Linked DNA regions of Kluyveromyces lactis. The protein of the gene in region 1 interacts with the protein of each later gene in a pairwise test. Links are inferred from orthologs where the notes say so. Each region holds a gene or a part of one and is shown on either strand. Other genes may lie near its edges.

Region 1 (4,450 bases):
GATTTCCTGTTTTCCAAAATTAAAGCCTTAATCCTTTCTGTAAGCCTTACAATGTTGTTATTACTACTGTTTGTACTGGCATTGCTGCTGTGGCTGTTATCTCTTGAAAGAAGTTTGAGCTGATTTTCCCTTTCCTTTTGCATCTCAATCGGTACATGATATTCTCCGTTGAATAAATTTTTTAAATATGATACTTCATCGGACGGTTTAGCAATTAATGCAGTGGACTGCTGTTGCTGGTTCTTATGCTTGAGTTTTCTATAGAGTCTAGTTCCATATTGTACTCTTGTAGGTGAGGATTCTGTATAGTTTTCTTCATTAGTATTATCCCAATGGAAAGGATCCTTAGGTAACTTCAACACTTCTTTCGTTGGAGTAATTGAATGTTGTAACTGTTCCCTTAAATGCTCCTTCTCTTGGAGCAGTGAGTCTAAATGAATTTTCTTTCTCGGAGTCGACTCCTCATCAACTCCTCTTTTCAAACTGTCGTAATTTGCTCCAGTAGTGTTGGAAATGGTACGATCTTTCCCATTTTCTTGCTCCAAAGGATCAATCCAGGAAAACCATGTCTTTGCTGAATCAAAAAGAGTTGAAAGGACAGTATTATATCCCAACGATTTCCACCTACTTTCGCTACCTCTATCACGTGCTTCATTACCAGAATTTAAACTATCTTTGATACCTTTCCGGTCGAAATAGTATGGTTTAGAAGAGACATCTGCAGTTATCACCGTTGATCTGGAATAATCACTAATGTCATCAAACCCTTTTCGATGATACGATACCGTCATTATTTCTACGCCAGTTTCATATAAGTGGTGAAAGTTAGAATTTAACAAATGATTCGGTTACAATAATTAAACTAACACTCAAAACTAGTATTTCAGCTGCCATGTAGCCTGTAAGTTACCATATATTACCTCGTTTCTTCGTTCCTGAAGTTATTATTGTTGATAATTGAAAGCAGCTTTTCGACAGAGATGCAATCCATGTTGAGAAATGTATACTTATTTAAACATTACCCGGATACTATCACGTGCACAAAATTTCTGCCAGGGCCCTTCTGCCTGAAAAAGAAAATAAAGAAATTTGCCAGACTAAGATTACTCAAATTTGACATCATAACTATGTAGAGTATCTCTCAGGGTATCTATCAAGCGAAGTGAAAACGGTGAATACAGCGCCTATATCACAGCAGATACAAGGCTGTGTAGACAGTTTCAGAGCTGTATTAAATTACAACTTGGTTTTCAACCCAAAATATCATTAACAGAAACAAAAAGAAGTTTATCGTTATCGTCATCTATTGATTGTACTAACAGTCATAACGGAAATATCGAGATACACTTGCTATAAAGTTTTGAACAATCTCAAAAACATTGGTTGAGAAGTAGTAAAATTGGTGTTAATTAATAAACTTGATTTCAGTCTAATTTTTTGACTTTTCTATCAAGAAATCAGTATCTTGGATCAAGTATCTATTTTGACTGGAATATGAATGAATCGTCGAGTGAGAAAGGAACTGTAGCTAGCAGTGTGAGTGACGATTCGGGTGATATGTCAGAGGAGCATATGAGCAATTTGAGGAAGAGAGTTAAGAAGGAACCAGTCAATGCTCTTGAGGTTTCAGAATCTTTAGGGTATCAAACGTTTAGAAGAAAGATGAGGAAAATATGGACCAAAGAAGAAGATGATCTGCTTAGAAAATTGGTTAACGAATCGTTAGTAAATTTGGGATATCCGGATGGTATCAAATCTATTAAAACAATTCAGCAATCTAGTAATGTTGTCAAAAAAATTCCCTGGGATCAGCTTGCCAAGCAATTCGAATTGGATAATAAGAAAGCGACGGATGTGAAAAAGAGATGGACTAGTTCTTTAGATCCTGTATTGAAGAAAGGTAAATGGACACCAGAGGAGGATGAGCTTCTCTTAAAATCATATGAACACCATGGTCCGCAATGGTTTAAGATTTCCTACGTTTTAGAGAATAGAACTGAAGACCAATGCGCGAAGAGGTACATCGAAGTGCTTGATCCCAGTACTAAAGACCGACTACGACCTTGGGATGAGACGGAAGATCTTCTACTTATAGCGAAGGTCAAGAAATATGGTACGAAATGGAGGCAAATATCGACGGAAATGGATGCTAGGCCAAGTTTAACCTGTAGAAATCGTTGGAGGAAAATTATCACTATGGTTGTTAGAGGCGTTGCATCTGAAACCATAAAAAGCGCTGTACAAGCTGGAAACATGGATGCAGGTAACGAGATGACCAGATTAGGTGAAGAAAACGAAAAGGAAAACAAGACTGATGATGACGAAGATGTTTCACGTCCTATGTCAACTTCAAATACGCCACAACCTTCAATGAAGAGCCCGAGTGGTACTGTAAAGAGAGAAGAATCGACACCTATGATATTTGACATGACTAACAGAACTAATTCTAGTGCGGCATTGTTGGATGTCTTGAAAACTGGAAAAATCAATGCGAATGATGGACAACAACCACACCAATCTAACGAAAGATCGACAGCCACCCCAGATCCAGCTGTTTTAAATAGCATAATATCGCCTTCACCGCATTACAACTCTCCACATCCTTCTATTTTTGTTGGCAGCATCAACAAAAAAGAATCTGCATTACCATCACCTAGCACATTTCTTCCAATACCCAATGTCGAAACTAGGAAACAACAACCAGAAACAACAGTTGACTGGAAATTTAGTCTGAAGGAATCTTCAGGTCATACCTTATCCAACGGTGTTATATCAAACGCTGACTTGGTAAAACAGTTAATAAATCATGCCAAGGCCAATGATTTGAAAATATCAATTCACCAGCATATTCACAACCATTATCTGGCTCCCAGACAAATATCTCCACCTCCGTTAATGTTACCACAGCAACAACAAAATAAACACATTGGTAATACTACTTCAAATTCACAAGATCTTCCAAAAATTAGAAGCCCGTCCTTCTCTGACTTCGAAACTGATTTTCTATCCAAAACTCCAAACTTCAACAATTGGGGATTGGACGATGAAACTCAAAGTCCATCGGCTCTCAACGATAAACTACAACGATTTTATCATCATCATCACCATCATCATCATGATTCGCTAGATGAAGCTCAAGAGCAGAACATAAAACAACAGCATTTAATGAACGGGGCTAATTATGCACAAAACGGCTTAAGCCAGTTGCCACCAAATCCTACAAGTTCCACTGCATCTTATCCATCGCCTACAGCTCCAGAAATCAGAGAAATAGGGCCAAGTAGGCACTCACATTTCAATTATTTACCACCCACGGTCAAGCCACAGCTTGGATCCAGTGAAAACGCCAAGACAGTTGAATTAAGCCGATTGTTAAATCCAAGTCCGAATGGACTTCATGGACATAAGAGGAAACAAACAAAGAGAAGAGGTAAAAATGAATCCAGAAACTCTAGTGCTGCAGGATCGACAGGAAATACACCAGCTGAAGATTTTGATCGCAATGGACCCAAGAATAAAGTAACCCCAAGCACCGTGTCCTCAATATCAATTATGGAAGAAGATGGTAATGATTTCTGGGAGAATCTACGCTCACTGGGAGGTAACATTGGCAGTGATGGAAAAAGCTCAGAACGGAAGTCTCCTAGTATTTCACACATAAATGATCTCTTTCAAAATACAGAAAATGCTGCTGATACACCAACTGGCTACGATGCCATCTTTAAATTTTGCGAGCAGAAGCAAATGGACGACAAGCAATCAACCGAAGAAGTTGTAGCTGAATTCGCCATCAATCCAAGCTGAAACCAGCAATGTATCATTACACCGAACTTTAATTTTCAAAACCACTTAAATATATAATGAATATACTAACTATAAATATATGTTAAGGACTTACAATCACATCTGTTTCATTCATAGCTAACCCGTTATAGCGAAAAGATCACACAAAAAAAACAAATTAAGTTATTAAAGGGGAACTTCGTCTTTTGTATCTCATTTCCTCTGGAAATATGATGAAGATCCTAGAGTTGCCACTGTATAATCATATACTGACTCTCCCAAGTTCAAATATTTCGTGGAATATTCCCTAACGGTAATATCGCTAATGTGATCAATCTTAGGGGTCAATCCAGTATTTCTCTTAATACCTGCCAAGCAGGTAGAAATTAAAACAGCATCAATAGCCAAATGTACAGTTTTACCGATCTTAAATTAGTCTTGCTCATCCAATTCACACTCTTTCCTTCTTCCTCTTCGGAAGGAATGAGCGCATTTCATAGCATAGATGTTAGTATCTTTTAGACATATAATCGTAGCAATACGATTGACAACCCAAACTAGGCTTCATAGCATAACATACAAAGGTCATTTTAGGGAATAAACGTGGTTTATTTGAAGACACCTCGTCTTTGTATATTCTTTTGGCCACAGATGATTTCCTGTTTGC
Region 2 (3,512 bases), about 180 kb from region 1:
TTGGTGAAGAAAGTTTCTCCAGAAACTTTCATTATTGTTGACGGTGTTTGTTCCATTGGATGCGAAGAATTTAAATTCTCCGAATGGTCTGTCGATTTCGTTTTGACCGCATCTCAAAAGGCGTTATCATGTCCTTCTGGGTTAAGTGTTTCTTTGATCAGTGAACGCGCCTTATCATACGCTTTGAGCAACGAATCCACCCATGGATTCTATGCTAACTTAAAGAAATGGATCCCAATCATGAAAGCATACGAAGCTGGTGTAGGCCAATATTTCGCTACTCCATCAATTCAATTAGTTAACGCATTAAACGTCTCCCTTGGAGAAATCTTGTCCTATGGACTCGAGGCCAGAATCGCCAAGAACAAGAAAACTTCTGACCAGTTCAAAAATAACTTGAAACAATTGGGTCTCACTTTGGTCTCAGAGGATTCCAACAGCGCTCATGGATTGACTGCCGTATACGTCGACCAACCAGGTAAAGTGATCTCTTCCTTGAAATCAAAGGGTATAGTCATCGCCGGTGGAATCTTACCCGGCATCAAGGACAAGTATATCCGAATTGGTCACATGGGTATCTCTGCCATCGATGACAACTTGCACCACATCGACAAGGTATTCGAAGCAATCAAGGAATCTATTTAATCTAGGGAAATCCATCCTGTTTGTATATAACGATCTGTATACTCCTTCCCTCACTCAAGTCAAACTCTTTATGCCAATGCCATGCCTCTTCTTCGTCAAGTCTACTGTCGAACCTTTTCAAGTCAAAAATGGAAGCTCATCTCGAGAAGTGAAAAGTGAAAAAAAAAGGAACAAGAAATGCAGTGGTGGCTCTCAAAATGTGTGTATCACCGCTCCAGCTCCATTCAAGTCATATATTGGATACAAAGGCCCGTATTATCACGACTCATTTCACTACTATTTTGTGGGCCACGAAATTTATACACAAATGTATGCAACTATGTGTAGTGCTCCTACATAACCATCACTGTGTTTTTTTTTCCGATGACTTGAAGGTACTATTACTGCCGTTGCGCAGCAGAGCAGCAGTGACATAAGTAACAGTCCCAAATTTTTTTCACAGGTTCCAATCCAAGCTAATTCTATCTTACAACGGGTAAGTAATAAGGTTACTGTCAGTACTGAAAGTACTTACGATGATTTTATTTACGTAGTAATTTTCTTTTTCAGAATTATCATAATTCTTTGATCAAGTTACTGTGAAATTTTAATTGAAAAAAAAAAAAAAATTAAGTTCTTACGAAATCCTTTATTCGTTATAAATATGAAGGATACCTGATAGAGGGAAACGTGTACAAGTATATATATTGGACTACCATTTATCTAATTGTGTTTTATCTTGGAATCCTTGTTATTCGTTTTGTTTTAGAGGTTTATAGTATTTCTTCTCTTCCAAGCTACTCTTCATTAAGGATAGAACCAACAACTATAATAATCTAACGATGCCATACGCTCTATCTGACTCTCACAAGAACTTGGTTTCTGCTCACTTGTCTGAAAGTGATCCAGAAGTCGAACAAATCATCAAGGATGAAATTGACAGACAAAAGCACTCTATTGTCTTGATTGCTTCTGAAAACTTCACCTCTACCTCTGTTTTCGATGCTTTGGGAACTCCAATGTGTAACAAGTATTCTGAAGGTTATCCAGGTGCTAGATACTATGGTGGTAACGAACACATTGACCGTATGGAATTGTTGTGTCAAAAGAGAGCTCTAGAAGCTTTCAACTTGACTGCTGACAAATGGGGTGTTAACGTCCAAACTTTGTCTGGTTCTCCAGCTAACTTGCAAGTCTACCAAGCCTTGATGAGACCTCATGAAAGATTGATGGGTTTGTTCTTGCCAGATGGTGGTCATTTGTCTCACGGTTACCAAACTGAAAACAGAAAGATTTCTGCTGTCTCCACTTACTTCGAATCTTTCCCATACAGAGTTGATCCAAAGACTGGTATCATCGACTATGACACTTTGGAAAAGAATGCCATCTTGTACAGACCAAAGATCTTGGTTGCTGGTACTTCTGCATACTGTCGTTTGATCGACTACAAGAGAATGAGAGAAATCGCCGACAAGGTTGGTGCTTACTTGATGGTTGACATGGCTCACATCTCTGGTTTGATCGCTGCTGGTGTTATTCCATCTCCATTCGAATACGCTGACATTGTCACTACCACTACTCACAAGTCCTTGCGTGGTCCAAGAGGTGCTATGATCTTCTTCAGAAGAGGTATCAGATCTGTTAACCCAAAGACTGGTAAGGAAATCCCATACGATTTGGAAGGTCCAATCAACTTCTCCGTCTTCCCAGGTCACCAAGGTGGTCCACACAACCATACCATCTCTGCCTTGGCTACTGCTTTGAAGCAAGCCAACACTCCAGAATTCAAGGAGTACCAAACTCAAGTCTTGAAGAACGCTAAGGTTCTAGAAGAGTCCTTCAAGAAGTTGGGTTACAGATTAGTGTCCGATGGTACTGACTCCCATATGGTCTTAGTCTCCTTGAGAGAAAAGGGTGTCGATGGTGCTCGTGTCGAATACGTTTGTGAAAACATCAACATCGCTTTGAACAAGAACTCTATCCCAGGTGACAAATCTGCTTTGGTCCCAGGTGGTGTCCGTATCGGTGCTCCAGCTATGACTACTAGAGGTTTCGGTGAACCAGAATTCGCTAGAATCGTCGACTACATTGACAAGGCCGTTCAATTTGCTGCTAAGACTCAACAATCTTTGCCAAAGGAAGCCAACAAATTGAAGGACTTCAAGGCTAAGGTCAACGAAGGTTCTGAAGAATTGACCCAATTGAAGAACGAAATCTACCAATGGGCCGGTGAATTCCCATTGCCAGTGTAAACGAACTTGGATTAAAAAATATTTGACAGACACTTGTTTTCTTTCCTTTCCACACTGTAATAATGACTATCCTATTTCAATTCTTATGGACATCCAACAAATTGATGATCCGTAATACCAATTGCAATTCACACTCTTTTTTATCAACTTGGGTTCTAATTTTCAACAAATGGTATCTCTTTTATCTAATTGATGATATGTATAAATAGCATCTCTTTTCGTATATTTTTTAAGTAGTTCAATTCAACAATTGAATCATATTCAACAAAATAATCATGATCATTCTTGCTATAACAAATGCGAATATATACATATTTACGGGTTCATTAGCTTGTTGGTTTCTTTTATGTCGTCAAAGGTATGATAAATCCGTTTAGAAGTCGGATTAACCTCAAATTGTCTGGCAATGAAATGGTACTTGCTGTTTATGACGTATTCATCAATATTAACGTGATCCTCAAACAATGCATAAAATAACCTTACTAACTTTCCCGTATCCGCTACGGTTAATTGTGACCATTCGATGCTATGCATAAGATCTTCACCGATGAGCTTCCATTGATAGTCTTCGGTTATTTTGTAAAGATAAATTAACGACTCAATGAGTTCGAAAGGTGGCCTTGTTGATACCACCAT

The links.
Region 2: the proteins of KLLA0_F10978g (region 1) and SHM2 interact in a two-hybrid assay, tested with the Saccharomyces cerevisiae proteins (2 studies listed by BioGRID). The link is inferred for Kluyveromyces lactis from reciprocal best matches to the Saccharomyces cerevisiae genes BAS1 and SHM2.

What each region holds. Positions count from the first base shown.
Region 1 is NC_006042.1:1,010,833-1,015,282, reverse strand, and holds KLLA0_F10978g (uncharacterized protein), read left to right. Parts: upstream 1-1,494; coding exon 1,495-3,804; downstream 3,805-4,450. Other genes in the region: SUMO protease ULP1, read right to left, coding at 1-791; ATG44 (mitofissin), read right to left, coding at 3,997-4,209, 4,364-4,372. UniProt on the Saccharomyces cerevisiae protein: Activates HIS4 transcription only in combination with PHO2/BAS2. BAS1 is also involved in the regulation of the purine biosynthesis pathway.
Region 2 is NC_006042.1:828,365-831,876, reverse strand, and holds SHM2 (glycine hydroxymethyltransferase SHM2), read left to right. Parts: upstream 1-1,466; coding exon 1,467-2,876; downstream 2,877-3,512. Other genes in the region: AGX1 (alanine--glyoxylate transaminase), read left to right, coding at 1-645; putative mannosidase MNL2, read right to left, coding at 3,192-3,512. UniProt on the Saccharomyces cerevisiae protein: Interconversion of serine and glycine.